Linked DNA regions of Coturnix japonica. The protein of the gene in region 2 interacts with the protein of the main gene of each other region in a pairwise test. Links are inferred from orthologs where the notes say so. Each region holds a gene or a part of one and is shown on either strand. Other genes may lie near its edges.

Evidence for each region.
Region 1: the proteins of RTN1 (region 2) and UGCG interact in a two-hybrid assay, tested with the Homo sapiens proteins (2 studies listed by BioGRID and IntAct). The link is inferred for Coturnix japonica from reciprocal best matches to the Homo sapiens genes RTN1 and UGCG.

The regions. Positions count from the first base shown.
Region 1 is NC_029547.1:58,821,344-58,827,330, forward strand, and holds part of UGCG (ceramide glucosyltransferase), read right to left. Parts: intron 5,915-5,987; coding exon 5,813-5,914; intron 5,446-5,812; coding exon 5,333-5,445; intron 3,632-5,332; coding exon 3,453-3,631; intron 3,049-3,452; coding exon 2,962-3,048; intron 2,538-2,961; coding exon 2,348-2,537; intron 1,033-2,347; coding exon 862-1,032; 3' UTR 1-861. UniProt on the Homo sapiens protein: Participates in the initial step of the glucosylceramide-based glycosphingolipid/GSL synthetic pathway at the cytosolic surface of the Golgi.
Region 2 is NC_029520.1:49,710,944-49,717,524, forward strand, and holds the start of RTN1 (reticulon-1), read left to right. Parts: upstream 1-2,874; 5' UTR 2,875-3,186; coding exon 3,187-3,376; intron 3,377-6,581. UniProt on the Homo sapiens protein: Inhibits amyloid precursor protein processing, probably by blocking BACE1 activity.

The sequences.
Region 1 (5,987 bases), on a different chromosome or scaffold from region 2:
ACACACACACCCCCCACCCTACCACTCCCAGTCAAAGCACTCACACACACACAAAAAGCCACAACACCCCATAAAAAGGATGGAAACAATGAAGGGGGCCAGCTAGGCTAGTTACAGCACAGTGCTTAACAAGGTTCAAGACCGAACCAGATTAGAGTTGGCCAAAAGATGCTCACAATACGTGACTGACCAATAATGCCTTTCAGCTCATCCTATCAAACTCAGTCCACTTTTGGTTCATTGCAACAACTAAAGTATTTCATATATACATATAAACACAGGACTCCAGCTTTATTTTAGTTTGTTTTTGCTAAGCGTTTTTACTTTCCATTCATTTTGTTCTGCAGCAACTACAAGAGGTAGGCATAAAGCATTTAAGCTTCTTTCCCAAGGTCCTGTTACTAGCTCAATTTGGTGGGATATTATAGAAATCAGATGTACTTTTTCCTGTGACTTTACTAGGTACAGCCTTGTGCAGTCCAGCTGGACAATAGTAATGTGACCACTGGCTTTGCTAGGCCAGCAGACCATGGAGTAAGAAGCCATTCATATCCAGAAGGATACTTATTTTTTTTTAAGGAAAAGTTCACTGCAGAGTATTCATGTAGCAGATATGTATCAGAAAAAAATTCTCTCCATTTCTGTTTGTACACAGGAGCAAAATACCATTTGGCCAAGACTACAGATGTATTTTCACAGATATGCAAGTGCCATGCAAAAAATAAATTAAAGAACAGATACCAAAACATACAAGTAGTAAAACTACTGAAGGTAGATTTTCTTAAAAGTACTTTTATAAACAATTTATAATACTTTCGATCCCCCTTTCTCTTTTTGACAGTCACAGTTACAAAGCTGTGGCTATACATCAAGGATTTCTTCTGCAGTGCCTCCACAACGTAACCTGTAGCGTCCTGTCCTCCAGCTAATAGTGGGGTCCCACAAAGCAGACAGGAAAATGTAAATTGTCATGGATTCTCTGATGAACCAAGCGACCGCATAATCAAGTTTAGAAAAACATAAAGCACCACCCTAGGAATACAAAAACAAATATTTAAGCATACTAACTATTCCAAATGAGTTTCGAAGTAATTTCTATTAAAGATAAATCTACTCTAAGGCTTAACATACACTTTGACATTATCAAAAGCATATTCTATTTTTTAGAACCTAAGAAGTTTTTCCTCCTTCAAGATATGATTACCCATGTTAAACATGAGATATTTGGCAGAATGACCCAAAAGATTCAAAAAGTGACTTGTATGCAATGCAAAAGACAAAGAAGAGTCACAATTTCAATTTATAGTTCCTTTTGAAGCTTTGTAAAATTGTGTTGAGAGCAGGCAATAGGTTTATACCACAGACCTAAAGAATATGCCACCACACATGCTCAAGGGAGTGAAATTAGAAGAATCAAGCTTTTGGCTTATTGAATAGGAAAAAGATCTAAAAACATTTATAGACAGCCCTTCTGAACTGACTGTTCCTTTGAGATTTACCAGCTACATACAGAGCTGCAAACTGAAGAGGCTTCAGAAGAGGAAGAACAGGCTCAAAGTTCTTCTACTGCACCATGTATGTATCATGCAGCAATTACAGCAATCAGAGAAATGACCGTCAAACTAGTGTTCTACTCCATCAGTAGAACTAGACTTTCCTTCCAGGAATTCTTAAAACTACAACAAGAATGTTTTTCAGTATGATGAGAATTCATTCATAGTTTGTACGCACAAATAACTGCGGATCAGATTTAGATGGAATAGGGTCACAGTAGACACAGTAGCCTGAAGAACTACAGCATCAGAAAAGCAAGTGTTTTTGATTTGTGCTATTTCAATATTAAAGGTTTTACTGAAATCTCCCTTCTTCCAGTGATAAGGAAGTTATATTTCTTAAAATTAGACTACATCCAGTATCAAAATACAGAAGAGATATATGTGTTTAAGTGTACATAAAATGTACATATAAGCTTCATGATACAAAAGACAGAAGAACAATTAAAGATTTAAAACTAACTACAATTCCAGAGCTGCTGTTCTTTTACTTTTTAATAAAGCCAAGAGTTCTGGGCATGCCTAAAAGTAGAGAAGACCAGAAACACAATTGCAAAAATGTGAAAGGGAGACAGAAGTCAACTTGCAGAGGCTAGTTAGAGGTAAGTACACAAAGAAAATAAGATCACAACCAAGCACACCTTTCACGCTACTCTAAGTAAAGTTAGCAGGTGAGCAGAGGTAACAGGATTTGACCAAGCACTTCCTTGATGATATCAAGAGAAGTATCTTGTCATTATAATCACATTTATCTCTTCGTTCTTTCATAATCTCTGAAAAGAAAGGTGACATACCTGAACACCTCTTAGTTGAATGTAGTCAAATATAAACCAGGCCAAGCAGTGACACATAAAAAATACCATTATATCCCATCTGAACACATGATGAGCTGCCCAACCAATAACCAGACTGGCAACAAAGCACTCTGAGATTGGCTCACATATTATTGTGGCAGGTAACATATTAATTCGCAGTTTGGCCCATCTAGGAAAAAAAAAATACAGTTCAGACTACATGTAATTTCTTACAACCTCTTCCCGAAACTCGTCAGGTGATGAGCCATCATTCTTGTTTAATTTACACTTCCAAAATAAACATGGGGAAAAAAAAAAATAAAAAAATCAGCCTTTTAAAAGCACTATGTAAAGCATTGAAACCAGTTTATTTTTGTTGCTATTGTGTTTTTTTCTTCTTAGGCTTTTAGTGTTTAAAAAAACAAACCAAACTACTCATGCATGAGTCTTGCTTCCCTGGAAAGTCAGCACCTTTAGCCATGCAATGAAACTATAGCATTCCTCACATTATCATCAAATTAGTTTGGGAAAGTATTCACTCCATTTTTAGATTAACCACAACAGAAGCAGATGACATTAATGGAAGAGAGAGGAAGCAAGAATTAAAATTTTACCTGATCATTCTGGACTGAAACTGAGAAATTGAATATGAACCAGAGTTCTGCATTGCAACTTGTGTGGCCATTGCAAATTTCCACCCTCTGAAAAATAAGTGTGCATTATGAAAAACATGCAAATAAGAAACTCAAAGAACAGTTATAGAACAAACATTTTAAGAATTCTATTAAGCTTCGATATTTTCTTTAGTATATATGCCATATTATTACAATGCATAAGAGCAAAAAAAATTAAATATGTTTCTACCAAATCTCTTACTTGGGGAACAGTAAACGTCTTAAACAATTAAATGTCTCAAACATTTTTCTAAAGCAGCTTATATGGACTTGAGTATATCTCTCCAATAACTGACAGAACAAAGCATATGCCATAAACACGCTTGGTACATACACATGAAGTTGACCTGACTACCTACATGTATAGCACGTAACACATGAAAACAGTTACAAACTGTATTTCAAACAAAAGCCTGCTGCAGTGATCTTACCGGTCTGCTATAGCTTTGGCCATAAAATAATCTTCAGCAATATATTGTGCAAAAGCAATCAGTCCCCCTGCTTGGTCCAAGACATCCTTCCTCATCAAGCATGACATTCCTGTTACACACTTAAAGCCAGTTAAATTGGCTGAAATATATGACCTTGGATGTGAAGTTCCAAAATAAACCTGCAAAAACAAGATAAGGTTTTTGAGCTCTACATGTAGCTAGGCCATTACTACTGACAATTCTCTCTTTTGTATGTATTTGAAGGAAAAAATTCTAAACATATCCAGTAATGATCTAATATTTGGAAAGTTCTTCACTATCCGAGTAAGAAGTCTAACTTAACACTAAATCTGAGAAATCTAATAGATGTGAACTCTGTTTCTATGGATTTAAGACACAGCTTGAATTTTTATATTGAACTGCCATATTTTGTTCAACACTAAATTTCTAATTTAGGCTGTTCTCAGGTAACACATATATTAAAACTCAAACTACTAATCACTCAAATAATATATTATTCACTTACAGCTAACAGACATACTGTCTCATTCCTCTTGCAACTTCATAGATGCTTACTACACAGCAGTACAGAAGCACAGAATTTTTGTTTAATGTACCAACAAGATGAAATAGCCAAATAGACACTTCAGACTGAAAAAGCTGCATTTTAGAAGACCTAGTATAAAGTCAGCAGTTTCCTACAAAAACATAGCTGAAGCAAGTTCTAGCATCTTAGTGCTATTCATCCTATTGATGGTCTCACTAACACACCAGCTTATTCAACAAAAGGCAAGGTGACCTTGTGGTACACTGGAACTAGAAGCAAACAGTTCTTCCAGGAGCATAGAAGCAGCAATTAGAATGCTATTTGCAAGTAGGAATAATAAGAGTTGTGTGCTACAGCTTCTTGCTCTCTTCTTTTAAGAAAATCAATTTAGACTTTCTGCTCCAAAAAAAATTCACTCAGGGTACCCTCTCTTTACTGAATTTCTCCATGCTTTTTTCTCTCACATTTGACTATTAGAATAGAACCAAAATGCCTTATCTATGCCAGCTTAGCATAAAAAGGAGTGATTAAATTATTTGCCTTGACACACAAGGAACAGACAAAACTCAGCCTCCTCATTCTACAGAGAAGAACATACTGAGAACTGAGAGGGAAGAATAGGACAGATAACATTAAGTGATATGAAGATGGTGGACAAGAATCAACTCTTCACCTTCTCTTTCTCAACAAGCATTAGGAGACAAAAATAGCCCTACAGAAGAGCAAGGTTCAGAGTTAAGAAGGCAGTGATGCTTGTAACATAGATCTAAGAAACTTCCTGATACAGACAGATGAGATGGTAGAGATTTACATCGATTCAAGTAAAAAAAAGTAAAAGTTCATGTAAGAAAAGACTACTTCTTGCATAGGGTGCATCTCAGCTGAAAATACTGGAAAGCTAATAGAGTATTAAGGGAAAACAGAACATATACCTTGCTCAGGTCCTGTTCCCAAAGGTTCTGATTATAACCTCTTATAAGATACTACTGTGAGTAGGACTTTTCTCTAACTCACAGTCATTTTTGTTTTAAAGTTAAAGGTTAAAGTTCAGTTAAAGGTAGAGAGTTCATAGACTTTTTACTAGTTATTAAAGCCCCCGTATTTATTAAAATAAAATCCTATATTTACACAGTGTTCTGTATAGCAAACAAGATTTGAATTAATGTCTGGAGTATTAATTTACAAGCTGTCCTAGGCAGTCCAAAGCACAACTGCTGCTAAAAGTAAATGAAACCTCCCTTCACTGAGAAGTAGAAGAGGCACTACACAACTTTTAGTCAGCAATATATTAAGTACATGTATATATATATGCACACACACACACTCCACTAACCTGTTCCAGGGTGGCAGCAAATCCCTGTCTGTCAGCAACATAGGGAAGACCATGGACCAATCCTACTTTCTCAGTCATTTGGTTGGCCATATCTGTCAGAGTGTCTGGTGTAACTAAGCAAGAAAAGAGAAAATGACAGTTAATTGAGCAATCCCATCATTAGCAGAAGGCAACTATGAAACAATATTGTGACTTTAACATTATTATCAAGAGCAGGTACAGCTTAGTGCATGTCACACTGGGGCAACAATCTGTCAGTAATAACTTAATCATTACTACTATTTCATGATCAGCAAATAAAATAAGAACAGTATTTTCAAAAATAAGATCAACATCCTTAGAGGTTTAAAATTTTTATTCTGTGAAGACTTCTCCAGACTTCATTTCTATTTCTGCTCTCAGTTAAAATAATCTTCTACAACTGCTAACCTACATGGAGTAGGGCAATAAGACTATCAGCACATTATAGTACACACCTACCTCTGATTCCACTATCACAAATCCATATTAGATCATATTTAGCAACTTCATAGCCAGGCATTAAGTTGTTAATCTTGGGGTTGATGCCAACCTTCTTACCACCTTTAAGAAAAAAAAAAAAAATAAAAGAAAGCAAGCATCATACTCATCATACTCAAAAACGCATGGGGGCTTT
Region 2 (6,581 bases):
GCAGAATCATAACCAGACAATATAACAGGCACGATAGGGTGTATGTCAAAGGAGAACCAATGAATTAGTTAAATGTATCCCTGTTGCTCAAGTGGTGAGCTTTAGTTGTGGAATTTGGCAGTAAGAACGTGATGACTAAAATCATGCTACTAAAGAGCAGCAAACACAGTCTTATCTTAATGCAAACAAATAGAGAAACTCCAATAAGCCTGTGCATGTGAGGTAGCTTGAGCACGGTGGTGGGGCATGTTTTTCATTGCTGTTCCATGAAGGTGTTGGTAATGATAAATGCTGTGCATGGGGGTTCCAGGTGAATCAGTGCTCCTAATGAGGGGTTTGGGAAGCTGCATGGAAATCAGTCTGGTGAAGTCACTAAAGGTATTGCTGAGTACTGCAGGAACACAGGCAACAGTGAATCTTTGTCTATCTTGTCATCTGTTGCATTAAAAAATTGAAACTGTCATCAAAGGTGCATTTTCTAGCTCAGGTGATTTTAGAGGATGGGTTTTGTGGTGGGCAACCCTGCCCATAGCGGGGGAATTGGATCTTTGAGGCCCTTTCCAACCCATGGCATTCTGTGATTACCAGGAACTAACTCAAAGTAAAACTGAATTTGGCAGACTATGCTATGTTGCATCCTTCTGTAAGTGCTTTAATGAGGCAGTGGCTCAGGAGGAAATTTGCTGATTGCCTTTACCCTCTGGATAGCCATATTTCAGCCAAGGGGTTTGGAGCAGTTTTCTTCTTGTAGCCCAGATGGTGCTGCATGTAGTGGTAAGACATATGCTGCCCTGAAAAGTAAAGTGACCTATATAATAATCGCTGATCTAGAAATAGCACATAAAGCAGACCAAGACAAGTAGGTTTGAAGTTGTCACTTTTCAGTAACTCATTGGACTAGGGAGCTCAAAATGAGAGAGAAATACCCATTCCATAAGTTTCCAGGGCAGGCAGAGCCTGGAGAGACCTTGTGTGAACAGGTGCAATTGGCAATGGTGTGCTGGGACAAGCTGTCCCACCAGTGCTATCAGGGCAGCTCAGAGACAATAAACTCAGTTTACGGCTGCTTCAGAGGTGGGGTTGGTTGGTTGTGTTGTGTTTTGTTTTAAGGGCAATATCACAGTAACATTGTGATTTCCCTTTCTGAAGCCAAATTGAACTGATCTTAGTCTTCAGTAGCTCCACACTAGAACTATACCACGCAGCCCTACCTACAGTAGCACCTTATTACTTACAACTATGCTTGCTACTTAGAGCTTGAGACCACAGAGTTTGTCTGAAGTCACAGCAGTCACCTGGCTTGTGTGGTTTGGCTGATGCTCAGCACGTTGCTCACGCTGGAACCTCAGTGCTTTGGTTCCCAGCCTCCCCAAAGGCTGAGGAGCCCATCTGTGGAGGGCACAGGGGAGCTGGCACCGAATAGCACTGATTCAAGCAGCAGCAGGACGGCTCCCAGAAACAGATCCTGGACCGGAGTCAGGAGGTTTAGTTTGGATACAAGGAGAAAGTTGTTTACAATAAGGGTTGGCGAAACACCAGCACAGGTTGCCCAGAGAGGTGGTGGATGCCCCATTCCTGGGGACATCCAAGGTCAAGCTGGACAGGGCTCTCAGTGCCTGAGGAAGCTGTAGGTGTCCTTGTTCATTGCAGGGGGGTTGGACCAGATTTCTTCTAACACAATTCTGATTCCTTGAGATTGTTTGAGAAGGTAATAAAGAAGATGGAGGCTGCTTCTAAGGCTCTTCATCTGGCAGTATGAGCTTACCCTAAATTTCCTCCCCTTTCACACGGATAGAGTAAAAGTGACTTAAGTTTCCAAATCCAGGTGCAAGCGTGGCTTCCTGAAGCTGGAGAGGATCTGAAGCATGGCTGGGGATGCTGGGACATGAACACAGCAGGTCTGTTGCTGCAAGAGCTGGTCTAATTGAAGTTGTATGGCTGGAGCAACAGCTCCCCACCTCACAGCTTGACTCTTCACATTGTAAGAGTCAGATCCTGAAATCCCATTTACAAAATTCCATCTATTTTTTGACCTGTCAGTGCCAGAGCTCTGTGCAGTGCAGGAATGGTCTGATACCACCTGGCTGAATTACAGAATTGTTTGAGTGGGAAGGGACCATTAAAGTCCAGCTGGTCCCACTCCCCCGCAATCAACAGGGACATCCACAGCTCCGCCAGGTGCTCAGAGCCCCTTCAGTCTGAATCTGGCTGTCCCAGAGATGAGGCACTCACTGCCTCTCTGGGCAACCTGTGCCTCACTGTCCTTACCACAAAAATCCTGTTCCTTATATCCAACCTCAATCTGCACTCTTTTGGTTTGAAAGCACCCACCGTGTCCTGTCACAATAGACCGGACTTTGTTTGCTCTGTAAAATGACAGCATGGTGCTGGTTCCCAGTGCACCTGACAAGTGGCACAGATCCCTTCTGCATTTCTTACCAATCTCTCCTTAATTGCAGGGGTTCCCTGCACCACCTCTGCTAGCACAGCTTGCTTATGAGAATCAGTAAGAATGAAAATACAATAAAGAAAGAAAGAAAGAATAAGCAAGGCATGCAGACACCTGCTGGGAGTTTATTCTGACAAGTGTCATTTACATGCAGGAAGCTGTGATCGTCTCCCTGCAGCGCGGAGCCAACCGCACAAAGCCGAGCGCTCAGCGGCGGACTGTGGCTCCTCCTGCTCTGCCGGTGGAGATCGGGGGCAGTTGGGAGCTCGTGGGATGCGCGTGGCCGTGGGGCTCTTTGCCCTGGAGGTGGAAGGGAAACCAGTGCCATCCCCACGGTGCTGCGCTGTTGTAGCGCGCTGTGCGGGACTCTGTCGCGGGAAGAGATTTAGAGGCGGGGGATGCGCTTGCCTGGAAGGGTCCGTGTTCCCCCCGCGCGCTGTCCGTGCCTCCCCTGCCGAAGCGGTTAAGTGGGGGAGAGCAGCAGCCAGGCTGGCAGATTCCTGCCCTGTGATATGCCAGCCACAGGGTGACGCAAGGGCTGGAAGGCTCCAACTGAACAAGCCATTTTCACCTGCGTAATACGCGCTAGTGGAGATACGAGCGACGGCAGCGGCGGCTCCGAGTCCCGCAGCCGGCCAGACCCAGCGCGGCCGCGCAGCAGCCCAGCCCTCGGCGGCCACTTTCGGTGGCTCCCGCCGCAGCCCGAGAGCCGGAGCCAGCGGCCGCCTGGCAGCAGCATGTCAGCCCCGCCGGACCCCCAGGACCTGCTGCTGGCCGGCACCGCGGAGCGCTGGGCTGCGGCCGGGGCGGAGCAGAGCGCGGCCGGGGCTGCGCTGCGGGATGGAGACGGGGCTCAGCAGCGGGAGCAGCCGGCGTTCGGCTCCGCCAGGGAGCACCCGCCCGTCGCTATGGCGACTGCATCCCCAGGTAAGAGGCGAGGGGTATGATGCTCAACAAAGGGGCCTGGCGGCAGCAGCATCCCCTGCCTCTGTCCCCGTCCCTCCCCCTGCTCCTCGCCCAGCCCTGCTGCTTGAAAACATCGCTAGCGAGTTAGCGAGCGCATAGAAAAGAGCGAGCAATCGCGGCCTCTGCAAATTATTATCTGCTGTGGTGGGGGAGGGGGACGCAGGACCCAGCCAAGTTCCCCAAAGCTTTTTACGATTTGCTGGGCAAAGGCAGTCCGGTTCTCAGTCGGATGTAGGAAGGCATTGGGTTGCAGTTCAACTTGGTGGGGCTCCGTCCTCGCTTGTCTTACACCTGTACACATCCAGAGTGATAGATGGCAAAGGGGTCACTTCACGTATTCCTTACGCACCTGAAATTCCTACATGGCCCCGTGATGTTATTTCAGCACTCAGATTTTAATGGAGTGACTGTTCTGAAGTGGTGTTATCTTTTCTGCATGCTTTTGGAGATAGCATTGTAACAACAGACTTTTGGATTGCTGTTTTAGGGTGTACCTAACTTAAGGTGCGTTTAGTTGAGCCAGGCTGTGTGGGTTCGTATATTTTTTAATTTACTTTGGAGATGTATTTGATTTCCCTTGGTTTGGGGTTCGTTTCTCCAGTGGGTGTGCCAACAGCAAGTGTGCGTGGATTAATGAGGCTCAGAGGGCTTTGGCTTCCAGTACATCCTGATATAAATGCTTTGGGGAAAGCGGCTCTATTTCCTTCTTGGTGATACTTGCCCACTTTCCTCTCCCTCTACTGCCCACCTGGGAACTTAAATAACAACCCAGCCCTTGGGAACCTGGTGGATCCCATCTAGATTTCTCTTCACTGGGAAGCAGGTGTTTCCATTATACAACCTGACAGCGTTAAACTTGTGTCGAGTAAGTTGAGGGTCAGGGCTTGGGACGGGAATTGGTCTCGTTATGCAATAGCTGCAGGAGCATTAGGAACTGCGTTTTTGGGCAGAGTCCTTCCTAATCCCCTTCAGTTAATCAGCACAAAGAGTAGCTGGCCAGAATAATCAAGAGACAGCGTGGCTGTATTATTCTGCTCGTACTCATCTGTGTGTTTCTATCAGGATGTGATTGTGCATCTGTGCATGTGTGCTCTCTCGACATGGATGTTTCCCTGCTGCTTTTCTGTCTGCTTAATGCTACCGAGTTCAGTAGTAAAATGGGATCTAATTCCCATTGGCTGCTGTGGGAAATGTTTTGCTGTTTTGTAGCTGTTTTGTAGCTTTGGGCAGGCAGAAAATCTGCTGATGTGCTGCTCGTTCACTGATCTGAGCCGGAGGTTGTGGAACGTGACTTCTTGCTGGCAAGGGAGGCAGATGGTATTATAAGGTTGCTCGGGGCACGAGTCATGTGCATGGGGTCCTGAGGTTGGGCTGCTCAATGGTGCAACGACACGAGGAAGGAGGAAGAGATCACGTGAGCTTTTGTTGCTCACTGATGGATAAAAATACGGCCATGCTGAATCTCAGCATACAGAACAAAAAAAGGCTGATCTCTGAAATAGTGTAAGTCCCAGTAGACTGAATACCTGTTAACATTTAATGGAAGCTTCTTAGTCTTATTTGTAGATTCAGGCTTAGAGAGTGCAGAATAGAAAGAACGGTAGGATAAAAGAAAAAGAAGAGAAAAGGAAAATAAAAAAGAAAAAGGAAGATAAAGATGAGGGAAAAGGAAAAAAGAAAAAGAGGAAAAAAAAAAGCCTGCTTTAGTAATTATCTGCAAAGGGACTTTGCATCTATTTGTTAGCATCTGTCGAATGGTGGCAAGGTAGAGATGAAGTGAGCAATGCAGACCTTTCCTGATGTTTGCTGACAGTCAGTGTGATTAGCAACATCTTGAGAGCAGGAATGTGTTTTACGTATCTTTCCTTTTGTTTTCCGTGTTTAATAGGTATCTGCTATGTGTGTTTGTGCGTGTGTGTGTTAAGTGTGTACGTGTGCCAGACACAGCAGCAGCCCAATCAGTGGATCTCTGTGCCTGCAGTCTCTATTTGTGGCTGCAGTGCCTACATTTCTGTTCTACATTACCTACACAGGGAGAAGTGCAGCATTTCACGATTCTCTGTGTGACTAAATGTTCTCAAGTTGCTGAGTAAGAGTTCTGTCATATTGCTGAACATCTGAAAGGGATGTCTGAAAGGGAAGCTGGGAAGGATTTCAGAAAACTCTGTAATTCTGCTGCTTAGAGGGGACTGCTGCATGTTCCTAAATGTAGCCATGAACCCATGAAGGATACCTGGCTCCATAAAGTGCTATAAACTTAGAACTCTTGCTACCTAATGGAGCACCTGGGGACAATTCAGGCAAGGAATAAGGCATCCAAACAAGAGCCAACCTGGCCTGTTTGCTTTCCAAACAACTCCCAACACATCCTATATCTTTCTCTCCAGCTCTCAGACAAACCCTTTTTGTAAAGACCACTGTTAAGCTCTTTGAGGCAAGAGAAGGATATGGAGACTGGGAGATTCTCCCAGCATGAGAACAGATGATGGGAATTTATCACAAGATGTTCAGAGATTTTCTTACACAACCTAAACATTTGCAAACTTTCCCCGACCTGGGCTTTTGTTTTAAGTTTGAAAACCAGCCAGGGATTGTTGAAAGGTTCGGGAATATTTTCAAGCTGGCCTTAGGCCCAGCCTTGAGCCAAGCTGGCTTTGTGTCAAAACCTTGTGAGTGGTTTCTGAACGATGAAAAGCAATGGGTTTCACTGCGTGTTCTCTGGATCAACCAAAATCTGCAGTGATTGGAATTACTGAAGAATATTTCCCACAAAGAGTGGAAAGCTCAGAGATTTCTCAAGCAAAGCTGGGGTGATAAGGAGCTGCAGATCTCACAGCTGCTTCTCCTCCAGCAGTAAAGATTGACTCCAGTATATTCTGGGTATGGGCAAAGCAGAGTTCCTCCTGCTTTTACACTTGGCCTCTAGATTTTGCTGACAATATTCCACTCTTTCAAATTGCTCCTTCCTGAAGATGAATTTGGTTTAGGGTGAGAGGAGCTTGCAGGCAGCTCTTGCAAGGCCTGGGAGCTGTTTTGTGTTGATGAAGAAGAGCCCCATATCACCCAACACACCATCTGGTCACAGATTCTGTTATTTATTTTTATACATCAACAGTGATTAAAATTCCTTGAAAAGCATTACTTCCAAAAATATGACACAGGCTGC